Coturnix japonica: one gene and its partners. The protein of the gene in region 3 interacts with the protein of the main gene of each other region in a pairwise test. Links are inferred from orthologs where the notes say so. Each region holds a gene or a part of one and is shown on either strand. Other genes may lie near its edges.

What was found.
Region 1: the proteins of MLX (region 3) and MNT interact in a two-hybrid assay, tested with the Homo sapiens proteins (2 studies listed by BioGRID and IntAct). The link is inferred for Coturnix japonica from reciprocal best matches to the Homo sapiens genes MLX and MNT.
Region 2: the proteins of MLX (region 3) and MXD1 interact in a two-hybrid assay, tested with the Homo sapiens proteins (2 studies listed by BioGRID and IntAct). The link is inferred for Coturnix japonica from reciprocal best matches to the Homo sapiens genes MLX and MXD1.

What each region holds. Positions count from the first base shown.
Region 1 is NC_029534.1:8,115,360-8,120,702, forward strand, and holds the end of MNT (max-binding protein MNT), read right to left. Parts: intron 3,437-5,343; coding exon 3,244-3,436; intron 1,798-3,243; coding exon 1,082-1,797; downstream 1-1,081. UniProt on the Homo sapiens protein: Binds DNA as a heterodimer with MAX and represses transcription. Binds to the canonical E box sequence 5'-CACGTG-3' and, with higher affinity, to 5'-CACGCG-3'.
Region 2 is NC_029537.1:821,271-827,178, forward strand, and holds the start of MXD1 (max dimerization protein 1), read right to left. Parts: upstream 3,735-5,908; 5' UTR 3,666-3,734; coding exon 3,407-3,665; intron 3,323-3,406; coding exon 3,223-3,322; intron 1,185-3,222; coding exon 1,155-1,184; intron 494-1,154; coding exon 379-493; intron 1-378. Other genes in the region: SNRNP27 (U4/U6.U5 small nuclear ribonucleoprotein 27 kDa protein), read right to left, coding at 5,779-5,833. UniProt on the Homo sapiens protein: Component of a transcriptional repressor complex together with MAX. In complex with MAX binds to the core DNA sequence 5'-CAC[GA]TG-3'. Antagonizes MYC transcriptional activity by competing with MYC for MAX binding.
Region 3 is NC_029542.1:4,576,494-4,582,610, forward strand, and holds the start of MLX (max-like protein X), read left to right. Parts: upstream 1-2,679; 5' UTR 2,680-2,795; coding exon 2,796-2,840; intron 2,841-2,921; coding exon 2,922-2,958; intron 2,959-3,035; coding exon 3,036-3,119; intron 3,120-3,227; coding exon 3,228-3,334; intron 3,335-3,495; coding exon 3,496-3,595; intron 3,596-3,739; coding exon 3,740-3,839; intron 3,840-4,086; coding exon 4,087-4,288; intron 4,289-4,763; coding exon 4,764-4,820; 3' UTR 4,821-6,117. Other genes in the region: bifunctional coenzyme A synthase-like, read left to right, coding at 1-362, 679-893, 967-1,098, 1,164-1,353, 1,454-1,518, 1,753-1,837, 1,920-2,017, 2,164-2,310 and 1 more. UniProt on the Homo sapiens protein: Transcription regulator. Forms a sequence-specific DNA-binding protein complex with MAD1, MAD4, MNT, WBSCR14 and MLXIP which recognizes the core sequence 5'-CACGTG-3'. The TCFL4-MAD1, TCFL4-MAD4, TCFL4-WBSCR14 complexes are transcriptional repressors.

The DNA of each region.
Region 1 (5,343 bases), on a different chromosome or scaffold from region 3:
GCAAACCATGCAGCAGATCAACTTGATTTCTATTGGTCTTCTTGCCCCAAGTTCCACTGTTATCAGGCCACATAAAAGCACTGTAAGTCGCCAGCACAAAGTATCTGCTTTTGCAAGAACAAAAAACAACCCAGAAAAATCTAAGGCGTGGGACTGGCACGAGGGATCCTGAAACAGTTCTGCAAAATCAATTATTGCATCAGCAAAACCAAACCAAACAATAAACCCCCCCCAAAGCATCCAAACAGAACACTGTCATCCATTAAAATAACAAAAAACAATACTCCTCTTTTTTTCCTTTCTGACATAGCTATAAAAACCAAGTCATTTATAAAACTGCAACAAATGAAGTCCGGTTGTGTATTCTTTTTCCTTTTATTAAACAGGACAGAGAACTTCCTTAAAATGCCATAACAAGTCACAGTGATTTTAGATGGTTTTTTGAAATGTAATATACTGATGGGAAATACCTCAAACGTTCAATTTGCTTTTTTTTTGTCACTGTATGTGTACCCTGGTCCACCAAACCATCTAACTTTGAGTTTCTTGTTTAGAGAGGACACTGTGTCTTCTTCCTCCGAAACTGAATTTTGACTAATAATCCTGCAAAATAATCACCCTTACAAAAGGCCTTCTTCAAATGTTATATTTATATATATATGTATATACATATATATACACACACATACACACATATATATAAATATAGACTTTTATGATTTTGTTTTTCCCATTCTACGCAACATCTCAATAAAGAGATCAGCAGATTTATTCTACAAAGAAGCAACACATAAAAGGGGAAAATTAAAGTCTGAAGAACATCATAACCATATTTCACCAATTACACATAAAAGGAAAAAAAATCACCATGAACAACTGTCTTTGAAGTTTTCTCAGATTAACAAAACTCGAGCGCAGAGAGGCCCCCTCTGGCCATAGCCAGGCTGGCTGCTGGGTGGTCAGACTGGCCCACCCCCTGCCCTGCCGCTCTGCGCCTCCCTCCCGTGGAGTCAGGCGTGGTTGGAATGTATGGAGTTTAGGAAAGGTTCCCAACAAAGACTTCACCTTCGGACGATTCTCTCTAGGCCAGCTTCAGTGTGCTCACTGGGAATGATGGCATGGTTACCATAGTTACTGGGTTTAGGACTGTCTGTCCAACTAACTGCGGGTGATGGACAACTTGGGTTCCTACGGCCGGTTTGGCCATCACCGCTTGCTGGCCAAGACTTGTGGTTCCATTCACTTGCTGGTGAGAGATCGTGTGAGCGATGTGGCTCACCACGGGCTGGCTGACGGCCATGGGCTGAGGGTAGATGGGCAGCTGCTGACCGAGGTGGGCCATGTGGTTGATGGTGGCTGGGTGCACAGTGATGTGGCCGATAGGCTGAGCAGCAGTGGTAAGTTGCACAGGGCTGGACGTGGAAGGTGCAATGTGAGCAATGTGCTTGGTCTGTGGACCCTGAATGACGTGGTTGACAGTCTGAATGACCGAAGCGTGGGTAGTGGCCGTGTGGGCAATAACAGTCGATTGCACTGTCGAAGCCGCCACGATGTGAGTCTGTGCTGGGACAATCGCCTGCGGCTGAACCAGTGCTTGTGTCTGGATGGAAGGCTGTGCGTGGGCTGGGGGTTGTTTCTGCTGGATAGACAGGTGCTGAGGCAAAACCGCCAGGTGATGGGAAGCAGTGTTTGAAGGGACGGCTTTCAGGAGCTCTGGGTGCTGGCGCTGGGCTAGTTTTGGTAATGAGTTTACAGGCCTGTCATCTTCCATGTCTTCATCCATGTTGTCTTCACCCTCTGGAAAAAGAATGAAATGAAGAAACTCCCATTAAAAAAAAAAAACAAAAAAACACAAAAAACCTGGGCTACCTGACCACTCCCGCAAGGCAGCACAAGCAGCAGAGAGGACAGCAGGAGGAGTCACTGAGCTGAGTGAGAGCAGCACAGCACAGCACAGCAGGCTCCATTCAGCTCAGCTCAAAGTGCTCGCAAAAAACTGGGAGATCCCACTTGGCAGGCAACAGAAGCAACTTGAACTGAGGCAGACAGACAGAAGCTGGACTGAGAAGCACCCTCTGCACAGAGAGAAGGATTTCTTTTCCTGGTAAGTTGTTCTGTCAGCTGGAACTACTCCTGCTCCCAGAGCAGGAAGGAAACAGTGATGAAGAACTGTGGCAGCAAGTTTACTGGTCTGGCTCTGGAAAAAAAAGTCTCCATTGAGCCTACAAATTAATGAGGCAATGCTGACCTTAAGGAGATTAGGATCATCAGCAGGGCACTCTGCTCTGCCTGCTCTAACGCTAGGCACACAGTAGAGATTAAAAAACTCAGAAGGAAGAAAAAACTAAGAAAGACACTTCCCTTTTGCAAGCCCCATGGTCAGTAGTAGCTTGAAGAGATCATTTTCAGCAGAGGCAGCTGGAGAAGTGAACAGCTTGATGCCTCAATTTACAAAGGCTCTCAACTCTCAGCTTCCACCAGCTTATGCTTGGAGATGGTCTGGAGCACGTTCAAAGGTGATGAGCCCAGTACAGGAATCTGAATGAACCAGAAAGCTCAGGTTTTCCCTTTCTGGGTTCCTGCTGTGCCATCTGCCTGGAGCACCACAAGCAAATGCCACTGCTATTATAAGGAACTGCTGCAAATAGTTGGGAACTGCTACAGCCTTCTGATCTCTGGAAAGTACAGTGCTGTCCATCCATGACTGCCTGTTCTTCCTGCTGCAGGTCACTGGTACCTCCTACCTCACAAAAACTTCTCACTGCAATAGCATGCTTGATTTTCATTAGCATTGCTTATCTTCACTGTGAATCTTTCTTGTGCAGTGTACGAGATGTACACTCCTGCACCAATTCCTTCTTCTCTGTGTGGCTGAACACCTTCTTACCTCCATGCACAAATACATTAGGACACTTACACACCAACCAGTTTTCATGAGCAGGGCTGTGTAGCTGTGCAGGAGGGAAACTACATTCTGAAAGCAAGGAGCTTCATGCAAGATACCACCAGAACGAATGTGCAAAACTGCACCTTGTGTTTATGTAACATGGTTGATACATGATTTCCAGTGCACTTTGCACAAGTATATTATTAGGCCACCATCACCAACTACAAATCCTTGAAATCCTTTTACTTAATTCTGAATGCAAAGCAACTGTGATGGTCTAAATGAATATCCCCACCAGCCATCTCTACTACAATGGTGCACAATGATGGTTACAAGAAGAGAGAAATGGCGGGTACCTGACGCTGTGGAGGTAGATGCCTGGTCATCCTCTGGCTGAACTGTCTGTCGAACAATTCTGTCGATCTCCATGATGTCCATCCATTGGCTCAGCTCGTTCTTCAGTTCTGCCAGCCGCTGCTGGGTAGCGATCTTTTCCCTCGCCAGCCGCTCCATCTCATGCTCATATTCTTTTTCCTTTCTCTTTAAAGTCTAAAGGCAGAACAAAGGAAAGAAAAACAATCTAAGGAGGAAAAAAAACCCAAATGTAATCTATTCTAACCTGGTCATTGCCACATTCGTTGCCGGTTTTCTTTTATTATTAGTTATGCTGGGTTCAGGTATAGTTATCACTTCCAAGTTCACACAGGAAGAAAAGGAGCTGGTCATGAAAACCTATAGAGTTGCCTTGGCCAACTGCTTTCTGCTTTCTGAAGGAAAACTATTGAGTCTTCAAAACTGAAATGATTAACCAGGTCAGGTGTGAGTCACTTCAGCTCCAGGGGGAGCAGTGCAGAACACCTCGGGAAAACTGCAGAACTTCACCATCAGCCGACAGTGACAGCGATTAGCACCAGTTCTGAACATCAGCCTGACCTCACCTGTCTCATGAAATGTAAAGGGAATTAAGGCTTACTGCAGACTGCTGGAGAGGTGTGAAGGAAGCACAATGGGTGCAGCTTTCTCCTCATCGCCAGGTGAGAGAATGTGCTTCTACCACATACATCTATTTCCAAGAGTGCTTAAGGAAAGCAAGCACGTACACAGATCAGTGCTCCTGCAGAGCAGCTAACTGCTGGCCCAGTGCTTGAGAAAGGTGAGAATCCCCCACATCCTTGCAATGAGAAAGAAGCGCAGTGCAGAAAACTCGGCTCTTATGTGGGATGACAAAACCACAGACAAATTGAAGTACTTCAAAGACAAAGTGCAGAGGAACAGATAGCATCTTTTACTAAACCAACTAACAGCAGTTAGGAACAAATGACAAGCTTCTGGGACACAAACTCAAAAAGGTCTACATGTGATGACAGTGCATTTCTGTAAGCTCAAGTTGGTCAGCACATAAGTCAGGAAGAGACAGAAATCTGACACTTATAGGAAGTGATTGTTCCACACGTGTATGTGGTGATAAAGGCTCCTGGACATACTCATGGCTGAAGCCAGACCCTCACACTTGTTCCAAGGGCTGTTACAATGCAAAGCACAAGAATTTCTTACAACAGCAGTCGTATCACAACAGAACAACTCTATGCAAAAAAAACCCCAAACCAACCCACTGTCACAGTAGTTACATTTATCTTTAAAATAAGCAGCAATCATACTGTCTTTGGGATCTGCCAACAGAATTGGAACCTACAGGTGGAATGTGCAGAGGAGACCACCAGAACTACATCAAACAAAATTAGGAACAAAACTTCAATAAAGAAATTCATCCAAGTGGCCAACCACCTGTCTCTGCAGGTCTGGAATGCCACAAAGCAGAGGCACCTGCATCTGGGACGGCTGAGGGTCTACAGCTGCCATCTGAGCCACTGCTCCCACTGGGAGCAGCAGCAGTGGCTGTGCTGAGGGTTCTGATGAAGCCTCACCACCACGACAGGGACGAAGCTGCTGTGATACAGGATGCCCACCCTGTGGGCTCCAACCCTTACTCCTGAGCCCTGCCTCTGCTAGGGCTGTGCCCCTGCAGCAGGGCTGCATCCTGCAGCACAGGCTGGGGTTTGCTGTAGGGATGTTCTGCACAAAGCTGCCAGCTCTGCTAAAAAGGAGCTGATGATTTCACTCCCAACAGTTTGTGCAGTTTAGCTCCTGCCTGAAATCCGGAGCAGAGTCCACGCAGGGCATGCAGGAACACTCTGCTGCAGGCGTGAGTATCTCTTTCATTTCCATTTCCCAGAAGGGAAGGACAATTCTGAAAGTGACGGCTGTGCCCATGAGTGACTCAGCTGTGCACGCCAGCAGGGCTCCACACACAGCACAGAGCAGCCCCAGGGAGACGTGCCTGCCTGGAAGCTGTATTTGCCTTTGCTACGCATGGAATGGGATTTTCCTCCATTGCACGTAGCTCTCAGCTCCAGAGCAGCCCTTTCCCACACGGATTACTACAGTAAGCCCAACAC
Region 2 (5,908 bases), on a different chromosome or scaffold from region 3:
AGCCTGCCCAGATCTCCCAGACCCCTTCAGAGCCAGACTGCTGCTGATACAACCCCATAGCAGAGAGCTGGCACACTAACAATGCTCCCTCCTCTGAATGGTTTCTATGCAGTGCTTTTCTCTATCCCTTTTCTCTATTTCCAGGCCTTGATAAGGCACCAGTGGCACGCAGGCTGAGTCCCGCCGTGCCGCCATGGTTATCTGCTGCTTCATAAAACCAAATGTGCTCAGTGAGAGTCACAGTGTAAAGGGCAAACCATAAAGCAGTCAACACACCAGGAAGCCACATGGTGCCAACAGAGCAGGAGCGAGGCTGAGGGCTTTGGAAAAGCTTTGTCTGAGCCCTCCCTCAGAAACTTCTGGTGCAGCCAGACTCACCTTGATGTGCAATTTGGCTTTCATGAGTAAACTCAGCGTGGTGTGCTTGCTGGATTCGGGGCCGAGCGGCACCAGCACCTTCAGCTTCTCCAAACACAGCCGCAGGTGGGCACGCCTGCAAGAAAACCATCAGATGCTCAGTGTGCCCCAACACCACGCAGCATCTTGACCTCTATATCAGCGCAGGAACAGCAAAATAAAACTGCTCCAGCTACATCCAGCACAGGGCTGCAAACACAGCACGGCCCTCGAGCCTCCTCTGGGTCAGGAGCAGGCAACGTGCAGCACTCCACGCTCCCTCCTGCAGCGCAGGATGCCCCATGCTCAGTATATTCCGGTTCCGTTCCCATTGCAACACCTCCTGTGCCGTACCCCACTGACACACTCAGGGCAGATGGGGATGTTGCAACGACCTGCCTATCTCGTTCCGCATGCGAATAAACAGGCATTTGCCTGCACTGAGTGCCTCCTGCATGACACTGCCAACAAAACACGCGCTTGTGCTGCTGGGGTCAATCCCAAACTGAGCTGAGCCCTCACTCAGGTTGTTTTCCATCAGGCTGGGCTGCACCCCAGCAGCTCAGCAGGGGGAGGTGTGTGATTTAAACCCCTTTCTAGGGGGTGAAAATGCCACAGGGAAATTCCAGCTGCCTGCCCCAGGTGGGCACTAAGCAGTACCAGGGGCACAGCATGGCACGGCTCCTTCTGGAATAGGAGAGGGGCAGCCCTGATGTGCAATGAGAAGAGATCCCGTGTGGGTCCCGGCCCATTCTCACCTGTTCTTTTCCATCTCATTGTGAGTCGACCTGAAAAAGAAAGAGGACTTTGTGAAATGCTCGGCTCCAGGAGGACGACAGACAGCAGGGGGGGGGTCTGCAGAGGGGTCACTGCACCCAGGATGATAAATGTGGTGGCATAGGGATGGATAGGGAGAGATACCCAGAGAGATGGCAGTGTCAGGGAGACCCCACTGAGGTGGTTGGGATGGGGACGGCTCGCTGCTGGTTATGGGGAGCACAAAGCAGCACCAACAGCACAGGATGGCAGCAGCACCCAACACACCCCCCCGGGTGAGTGGTTGTAAAGGAGAGGAGGAAGCAAAGGGGCCCAACCAGCGCTGAGCAGCACCACACAGGAAGGGGAAGCTCTCCTCATCCCAACACCAACCCCAAACTGAGCAGAGCACAACTCCAGCGCATCTCTAAGGTACAACCAGCAGCCCCAAAGCACGAGTCCTGCTGCTCCCATTCCTTGTGAGCAATGTTAAAGTGAGGAACGAAGCTCCTTATCTCCCCATTAAGGAACCTCTGGGCGCTCGCTGACGGGACGGGGACGTCCTGCTGTCACAGCTGGCAAAGGTCACCCGTCCCCATGCGACGTGATCCGGAGCAGGACGTGGTGCCGTGCCCTGAGATGGCAGAGCTGCTCCTCCCTGAGCAAACAGCAGGAAGGAGCCGGGAGGGGCGGCAGGAATTGGCCATGGGTCACATTTAGGGGCACAATCTCTCCTCCCCATTGTGGGGGTTTGGATCTGAATCTCATCTGCCACTTTAAGAGCCCCCAAATGGAACCTGGGCACAAGAACCACACCAAGGCAACATCCAAAGCAAAGGCCGAAATCAAGAGCTCAGTGTCAGCATCTCTGCCTGCCACGTTGTGTGACTGCACCTTCAGCTGTGTGCACTGTGACATGGAATCCTCATAGACTGAGCATCCCATGACAGCGGCGTCCCCAAAGGTCCCCACAGCCCACAGCCCCCCCATGGCAATGGGATTTCAACAGGCCCCAATAGATCCCAATCTCCTGGTGCAGGCAGTGCCCTCTGCTTCCACGTCCCCCCAGCCCGGAGCCCTGTGACAGCTGCTGACCCCCGGCTGACAGCGGTGTCCCTATGGATCCCTATGGGGTCTCCATGGGTTTCTATGGGGTCTCTATGTCTCTCTTTGGGTCCCTATTGGTCCCAATAGGTCCCTATGAGTCTCTATGGGTCCCTATGGGTCTCTATGGGTCCCTATGGGTCTCTATGGGTCCCTATGGGTCCCTATGGGTCTCTATGTGTCCCTATGTGTCTCTATGGGTCTCTATGGGTCTCTATGGGTCCCTATGGGTCCCTATGGGTCTCTATGGGTCCCTATGGGTCTCTATGGGTCCCTATGGGTCTCTATGGGTCCCTATGGGTCCCTATGGGTCTCTATGGGTCCCTATGGGGTCTCTATGGGTCCCTATGGGTCTCTATGGGTCCCTATGGGTCTCTATGGGTCCCTATGGGTCTCTATGGGTCTCTGTGGGTCCTTATGGGTCTCTATGGGTCCCTATGGGTCTCTATGGGTCCTTATGGGTCTCTATGGGTCCCTATGGGTCTCTATGGGTCCCTATGGGTCCCTATGGGTCTCTATGGGTCTCTATGGGTCCCTATGGATCCCTATGGGTCTCTATGGGTCCCTATGTGTCCCTATGGGTCTCTATGGGTCCCAATGGGTCTCTATGGGTCCCTATGGGTTTCTATGGGTCCCTATGGGTCCCTATGGGTCCCTATGGGTCTCTATGGGTCCCTATGGGTCCCTATGGGTCTCTATGGGTCCCTATGGGTCTCTATGGGTCCCTATGGGTTTCTATGGGTCCTTATGGGTCTCTATGGGTCCCTATGGGTCTCTATGTGTTCCTATGTGTCTATATGGAGTCTCTATCTGGTTTCTATGGGTCTCAATGGTTCTCTATAGGGTTTCTATGGGTCCCAATGGTTCTCTATGGGTCTCTATGGGTCCCAATGGTTCTCTATGGGTTTCTATGGGTCTCTATGGGTCTCTATGTGCCCCCATTGCCCCCCTCCCCCCTCCCGTTACCTTCCGCCCCCTCCGTTCCTCCGGCCGTTCCTGCTCCTCGTTCTGTCCCTTCGCGCTGCTCCATGTCCGGGCATCGTGGAGGCGTAGCCGTGTTCGGCCTCTGTGGGGACACAACGGGAGCGGGCAGCGCCGGGCGGCACCGGGACGAACCGGGGGGGGGGGACACACGGTGTAATACCGGTACCTCGCTCCCGACGCTCCAGGTACTCGGCAGCCTCCAGGAGCAGCTCGATACTGGACCCGATACCGGACCCGATACCGGACCCGATACCGGACCCGACACCGGACCCGATACCGGACCCGATACCGGACCCGATACCGGACCCGACACCGGACCCGATACCGGACCCGATACCGGACCCGATACCGGACCCGACACCGGACCCGATACCGGACCCGATACCGGACCCGACACCGGCCCCGTCGGTTCCGCCCGCCGCCATCTCCGCTGCTGCGGGGCCGGGCCGGGCCGGGCCGGGTTGAGCTCCTCGCCCGGCCGCTCCGCCGACTCCGCCCACCGCCGCCTCTCATTGGATGCCGCCCCACCGTCTCTTTTCGCCATTGGTTGGCTGTGAGACACGCCTTTCCGCCATTGGCTCGGCCCCGATGGAAGCCCCGCCCCCTCCCCGCTGTCGCCGATCAGACGGGCCCTCCGGGAAGGCGCGCTGTGATTGGACGAGCCGCCAACGGGGCTGACTCACTTCCTGCCTCCCGCAGCCAATGGGAGGGCGAGAAGAGGGCGAGGGGGCGTGGCCAAGTGTCAACGTGGGGCTGTAGGGCCGGGACCCCCCGGACCCCGGTATGGGGGGACCCCATAAAGGATGGAGACCCCATAGGAACCAGGAGCCCCCTATAGGAAACAGGCAGCCCCTATAGGTAACAGGCAGCCCCTATAAGTAACAGGCAGCCCCTATAAGAAACAGGCAGCCCCTATAAGTAACAGGCAGCCCCTATAGGAAACAGGCAGCCACTATAAGGAACAGGCAGCCCCTATAAGTAACAGGCATCCCCTATAGGTAACAGGCAGCCCCTATAGGTAACAGGCAGCCCCTATAAGGAACAAGCAGCCCCTATAGGTAACAGGCAGCCCCTATAAGTAACAGGCAGCCCCTATAGGAAACAGGCAGCCCCTATAAGGAACAGGCAGCCCCTATAGGAAACTGGCAGCCCCTATAAGGAACAGGCAGCCCCTATAGGAAACAGGCAGCCCCTATAAGAAACAGGCAGCCCCTATAAGCAGCCACCCCTATTAACTGGGACCCCTATAGTCCTCCCCCAGCACCCAAAGGTGCCGCCCTTCACCCCACAGCAGGGACCCCCCCCACACCCCATAGAGCCCAATGGGATGGAATTGGGTTTTTTTTTTTGGGGGGGGGGAGGCTGTTTCCTCCCCACACCCCGAAACCCAGCCCTGCCCTGGGGTGACTCACCCCCCCAGCACGGAAACCAGATAAACCTGGGTGTGTGTTAATGGGGGGGGGGGGTCAAAAGGGGAACACGCCCCCAATGCAGCGGCCCTAAATAGAACCCCATTGAACAGCAGAACACGGCTGGGGGGGTTTGGGGGTGAATGGGGGGGGATTGGGCTGGGGGCTTCATGAAAGCACCCATCACATCTAAGTGTGGCCAAACAAATGGGCTTTTTTCTCCTCATTTTGAGCAGGTTGGTTTAATGAGGTTTAATTAGCACAGAGATAAAGGAAATGATGGGATGGGGGGGTTGGGAATTCCCTGTCTGGCAGCGGGGCCTTATCGCAGGGCTCCAGGCGTGTCGCAGTGATGACAGGGCACCAACACAGCCCCGTATGGCACTGACAGCCCGGGTGAGTCACCGGCACCAATAAGGGCTGGATTTACTAAGTCAAACCTGCCCTAAAATAGCACAAAACCCCATAAAACTCATAGCAAAAAGCTCAGCTCCGGGCTGGATCCGCATGTCCTCATCTTAAAGCATCGCTGGGAGGTTTATGTGCTGATTGAGATGGGGTTGAAAGCAATGTTGGCTGTAGGGCTGTGCTGCCACCTCCTGGGGTTGAGGGAACATAGAGCTGAGATGGGAATCCCTGTATGGGGGGAATCCCTGCCCAAGGTTTGGGTTGGAATCCCTGCCCAACCCTGGGGTGACCCATTGAACACACAAAGAAGCAGCAAAGTGAGTTTGTTCAGCTCAAATCCCAAAGGTTGAGTTGGGGATCAGCTGTTGGGTGGGTTTTCCAGCAGCGTTTTCTCGCTGACTTTATTCCTGAGTGATGTTATAATAAAGGGAGATTGGGGATGAACCAGAAAGGAAAGGGAAAAATATCGATGGGTTTGAATCAGACGATGCTGAGCTGGTAAAAAAAATAACACAACAACCAATAGAACCAGCAGGAAATCCTGGCGAGGAGCAAACGGAGCCGAGATCGATGAGCTTCAGTTCACCCTCCCTCGGTGCAGGGCAGAGCGAGAGCACCCGGATTTGCTCTAAATGACCCCAAAATCCCTTTGAGGATGGAGTGACGGAGTCCTGTCCCACCTTTGAGGTGTGTGAACAAGGCAGAGCTGCTCCGTGCAGCGTCAAGCGATGAAATCCAATGGTCTGTTGAATCCTCCTTTTCTGTTCATGTACTGTCTGTGGGGGAGAGGAGAAGGAACAGATCAGCTCCTCACTGTGCCCATAGACAACCTGGACTCTGAGATGCTGTTT
Region 3 (6,117 bases):
GCACCGGGAGCTGGACGTGCGGGTCCTGCTGGGCCACGGACACCGGCTGGCGCGGCCGCCCCGCGTGCTGCTCGCGGACGGCGGAGCCGGCGACGCGGGGCCGGTCCGGGTGGCGCTGCGGGAATTGGCCGCCGCCGCCTACGGCTGCCCGGCCGAGCTGCCCGCGGTGCTGCTCAGCGGCTCGGACGGACCCGAGGCGCCGCACGACGGCCCCGGCGCGGAGCTGCCCGTCTACTCCGACGTGGTGGTCGGCGGCACCTTCGATCGGCTGCACGGCGCCCACCGGCTGCTGCTCAGCGCCTGCTGCCTGCTGGCACGGCGGAGGCTGCTGGTCGGGGTGGCCGACGGGGAACTGCTGCGCCGTGAGTGCTGCGGGAAGCGGGGCCGGGGGGCAGCGGGGAACGGGACGGGACGGCGGTGGGGGCTGAGGGCCGCCCCTGGGCCGGGGTATGGGACAGTGTCCGGGTAGCTCAGAGCGCTCGGGGGCTGCTGGCAGGAGGGATGTGGGTCAGCACCGGTGGCGGGCACTGATCACAGGGACAGCCCAGGTCCTGCAGCTGCTGTCCTGCACAGTCCAGGGCCCTGTGGGCAGGATGGTGGTGGGGCACTGCTGGAGGGTTCCTACCATAGAACCGTTTGCTCTGCTGCTCTCACTGTTCCGTCGCGGTGCTGCTGCAGACAAAGTCCTGCGGGAGCTGATCGAGCCCTACGAGCTGCGGGTGGCCAAACTGCGGGAGTTCCTGGCAGATGTGCAGCCCTCGGTGCTGTACGACATCGTGCCTCTGGGCGACCCCTACGGCCCCGCAATCACCGACCCGGAGCTGCGCTGCATCGTGGTCAGCGAGGAGACACGCAAGGGAGGGGAGGCCGTGAACAAGAAGAGGATCGAGAACGTAACTGGAGGATCTGAGACCTCTGGGCCCCGTGGTTACATCTGGGGGGCTCAGTGGTGTCCCCTCCCGGCAGGGCCTCGCCGCACTGGAGCTCTTTGAGATCGAGCTGATGGAGGATCCCCAACACAGCCTCAGTGAGGAGGAGAAGATCAGCTCCTCCAGCCTGCGACAGCGGCTGCTCGGCACGTTGCTGCGGCCCCCACGGGTAGGGGGAGCTGCCGGGGGCTGGGAGCTGCGGGACCACCGCCCGTCTGACCCTTCCTTCCCCAGGACAGCCCCACGCTGCCCCCCCGCCCCTACATCATCGGTCTGACCGGGGGCAGCGGGAGCGGGAAGACCTCGATCGCCCGCCGCCTGGGGCAGATGGGAGCGTTCATCATCGATGCTGATGCACTGGGCCACGCTGTGTACCTGCCCGGCAGCCCGGCCCACGGGCAAGTGGTGGCTGCGTTTGGGGCAGGTGGGGCTGGGTGTGCTGCGGCACCGGCGCTGTGCCGGGACACGCTGTGCAGGTGAGTTGGATTCTTTCTGCTCCCAAATCACCTCCCTCTGTCTTGCAGAAATCTTGAACAAAGACGGGACGATCAACAGGAAGATCCTCGGGGCAAAAGTGTTTGGAAACCAGGTACGAGCAGCACAGGGAATGTCAATATTTAACCTCATGAGCAGAGAACTCTGTGCTGGCGCTTTGATTTCCAGCCCTTTGAGCTGATGCCACGTCCCTGTGCAGTAGCACACAGTAAATCAGCGGCTGTGCAGGATCCACATCCAGGCAGCAGCTGCTGTTGCTCCTCCAGCTGTGGCCCCCTCGTGGACCAACCTCTGGGAGGACCCTGACTCCGCTGCGGTTCCTTTCCAGGAGCGGCTGAAGAACCTCACAGACATCGTGTGGCCGGAGATCGCGCGGATGGTCAGGGAGCAGATCAGGGAGGCAGGAGCTCAAGGTACCGGGTGGCTCTGATTGTAGTGGGCGCTGCCGGCGCTGCCTGTGTCCGCCCGGTGACCAGGAACGGCCTCGTTCCGTAGGAAAAGCCGTGATGGTGCTGGATGCCGCCGTGCTGCTGGAGGCCGGATGGCAGGAGATGGTGCACGAGGTGTGGGCGGCCATCATCCCCGAGGACGAGGTGGGTGACTCCCCTCGGCCGCCCCGTGATCCCCGTGACCCCCCGTGACCCCCGTGATCCCCGTGACCCCCGTGATCGCCGTGATCCCCGTGATCGCCGTGACCCCCGTGATCGCCGTGACCCCCCGTCCCGTGCTGGTCCCGCAGGCGCTGAAACGCATCGTGAGCCGGGACGGGCTGAGCGAGGAGGCGGCGCGTGACCGGCTGCGGAGTCAGATGAGCGACGGGCAGCGGGTGCGGGAGGCGCATGTTGTGCTGAGCACCGCGTGGGAGCCCGACGTCACCCACAAACAGGTGAGAACGGGCCGCTGTAACGGGCCGGTGTAACGGCGCCGAGCCCCGCACGAAGCTGCTGACGGTGCCCGTTGTCAGGTGGAGAAGGCGTGGGAGCTGCTGCAGCGCCGCATCCACCGCGCGGCCACCGCAACGAGCAGCTGAACCGCAACGGGACCGAGAGGAGCCGGGACCGGGAGCGAACGGAGCGAACGGAGCGAACGGAGCCGCACAACGCGCCGGGACGGACCGGAAGCGCCGCGGCCCCGACCGGGCGGGTACGGCCCGTGCTCGGCACGGCGGGCGCTGCCGGTTCCGCGCCGTGATCCCGCAGCCGAGCGGCGGTTAAAGGGCGGTCGCAGTTTCCCGGTGTCCGTGCTGTTTGTGTCCCGTTGGTCCCGTTGTTCCCGTTGTTCCCGTTGTCCCCACGTGGCGCCCCCTCGCGGTCGGGAGGGCGGCGCTTCCCGGCGTCCCCCGCGGCTCCCACGTGACCGGGGCGGGGGAAGATGGCGGAGCCGCCCGGTGCCGCGGCGGAGGAAGCGTGGGGGAAGGTAACGGGGCGGCGGTCGGACCGTGGGGCCGAGGCCCGGAGCGCCACCATCCGCCCCGTGACCGCCGCCCTCCGCCCGCAGGTGGACGCCGCGTACGGGGACAATGTCCCGGAGCCCGGTAGGTGCCGGGGGGGGCGGTTCGATGGCGGGTGGCGGATGGGGCGGCTCCGCTGAGCGGCTCCCGCTGTCCCGCAGCGCTCGGTACGGACAGGAAGGGCAGCGTCGTGTCCCGCGCCAACAGCATCGGATCCACCAGCGCCTCGTCCGTGCCCAACACCGGTACGAACGGGGGCACCGGGCTGGAGCGGGGCGGGCGCGGGGCAACCGGGGACGGCGGCGTCCGGGGGGGCCCGTCCCGACCCGCGCTCAGCGCCGCTGTGTCCGCAGACGACGAGGACAGCGATTACCCGCAGGAGTTTTACAAGGAGTCCTACAAGGACCAGCGGCGCCGGGCGCACACGCAGGCGGAGCAGAAGCGGCGCGATGCCATCAAGGTCGGTGGGCGCCGCGCCGCGTTCCAGCCCCTCGTCCCGTGCTGGATCCGCTCCATGAGCCGCGTGTGGCTGGAGCCGCTTTGGCCGCGTGGTGGGAGCTGGGCTGTGGGTCCGTGTAACCGCTGCCGTTTGTGCCTGTTCTGCTCCCTCTGCCCCTGCAGAAAGGCTACGACGACCTGCAGGCCATCGTGCCCACCTGCCAGCAGCAGGACTTCGCCATCGGCTCCCAGAAGCTGAGCAAGGCCGTCATCCTGCAGAAGAGTGAGTGTGTGCAGGAGGCAGCAGGGCACGATCCGACCCTCAGGCACCTCAATGTGGTGATTGTGTGTGATGGTGCCTCGGGGACCGACCTCAGGGAGGTCAGAGGGGCCCCATGTGCTGCTTACTCTGTGTTTTTGTGTTCAGCCATTGATTACATTCAGTTCCTGCACAAGGAAAAGAAGAAGCAAGAAGAGGAAGTTTCTACTCTCAGGAAAGACGTGATGGCCTTGAAGATAATGAAAGTGTAAGTAAGAAGTTATTTGGTTGCTGCCCCCTTCTTCCTGCTGTTTTTCCCCATGTCCCTGCAAAGCTCCCCCGATGTGCTCAGTGCTCTGTGTGCAGTCTGGCACCTGGGGTCGTACCAAATTGCCTCCAGTTCTGAAGCTGTTTTCAGTGTCCAGTTACTGGCAGCAGCTTCTGCCCCCGCTGTCGCCCAGCTGCTGTGCAGTACGAGGCTTCGATAGCACTGAGCCCCAAACTTGGTGTTTCAGGAACTATGAGCAGATCGTAAAAGCTCACCAGGACAACCCGAGTGAGGGGAAGGACCAGGTCTCTGACCAGGTGAAATTCAACGTTTTCCAAGGCATTATGGATTCCCTCTTTGAGTCCTTTAATGCCTCCATCTCAGTCACGAGTTTTCAAGAGCTGTCAGCATGTGTCTTCAGCTGGATTGAGGAGCACTGTAAGCCCCATGTGAGTACAGCAGACACAGGGGGGTTGATATAAGAGCAGAGGCTGTTGTGTATGGCTGCACCTGTCTGGAGTGTAGGCCTGTGTGCAGCTTTTCTTTCGCCTGGGCCTTCAGAAAGGCAGAATGTGGCTGACACTGGACCTGGGGCATGGGAGCTTGGGTTCCTCTCATTTCCCAGCTGCTTGGCAGTGAAATTCAGACACTGAAAAACAGAGCTTACAAAGAGGGTGCTTGTTCCCCAGCACTTTGTTCCATAAGACACTTAGAAGTTAGGAGGGAAGAGAATGAGCTGCATGGGCAGGGCCAGGTCCTTGTTGTGCTGTGGCTGCCTGGAGCCCTGCAGCCTGAGAACACAGACAGGCGATCGTTTCCCATACAGGTGCTGAGATCTGTGGCACCAGGTGCTGTCTGTAGCATTGAGCATGGGAAAGGCTTTTCCTCCCCTGAACAACTGACTGTGTCTCCTCTCTGCCCCAGACCCTACGGGACATTGTCATCGGGGTCCTGCACCAGGTGAAGAGTCAGCTGTACTGAGCATCCCTCGCTGGAGCACCTCCCGACCGGGTGACAGCTGCCAGGAGAGGCTGGACCATCTCCCTTGTGCTGGTCCTTAAAGCTTCTTCGATTATTTATTGTCACTACAAAACCAAACCAAAGCTGTGCAAACAGGTACTGTCACAGTCAACGTTACCAAATACTGCTAAGGACTTAGTGAAGGGAAAGAAATAAGTGTGTATTGAATATAGATCTTTTAAGTTGCCAGTGTCTTTAGCTCAGGCAGGTGGTTGCAGTTGGGTTTATCTGTGCCACTGATTTCAGGGCTGCAGCTCAGCAGGTGAATCTGCTCTGTAACCTCACACCTGATATAAACCCTATTGAACCTGGGAGCAGGGAGAAATAGGAGAGTGCTAAAAGCTGTTGCTGTGCTAATGCAGCTCAGGAATAGGGTTATTCTGCAGCTGCAGGTTTTCAATACCTCCCTCTGAAGCAGCTCTTAGAAAAGCAAGAGTCTGCTTTTAATTTCTGTAGCTGCTTTGGAGAAGGCCCGGGAGAACTGAGGGCAGGTTTATTAGCATGTCACTGCCAGGGCAATGCTCATTACATGGAGCAGCAAGCGAGCTCTGTGCTGAAGGAGTGCCCTGGGGCCTCGCTGTGCTGACTCTTCAGTAACACCCCTGAATGGGAAAGGAGTGAACTTTCATTGCAGCCTTTTCCTCCTTGTTCTGATGAGTGCTGAATTGGGCCTGGCTTTATCTTTTTCTGGGTTGTGATGTGGCCACACTGAACAGGAAAGTTCAGTAGCTGCAGCACAGCATTACTCTGAGTTCACACTGCTGTTCCTTAGCACCATGATTTTATGTGGGTATATATATTTATATACATGTAACCAGCCTTGATTTTATTTTATAGATCACTGAAATCATTGTAAAGTGTAATCAATGCCAGTTTTGCAGTGTCTCACTTGCCACACGCTGCTGCTGTCAGTGTGAATCAGCAAACCAAGCACAATGATGGCATTGGACAGCATCACCCTCCATGGCATTGACACATACAGCAGGACTTGTTCTCTAGTCGTGTTCTTGCTACCACTCCAACAGTAGCAACTATTTATTTTATGTTGTTTTTCCACTGTAGATGAGGTAATGCTAAGTTTCTCAGCTCCGGGTTGCTTGATTTTTGAATGCTGCAGCTGGAGATGGTTGAAGCTGTTGCTTCTGTTTGACTTAAATGAAGAAAAGCTTTTTGGTGGGGTTGATTTTTAGATGAAATTGTTTTTCCAAACCCTGTGACCTTTTGGATATAATACAATAGAAGCCCAGTAGGAGTCAGA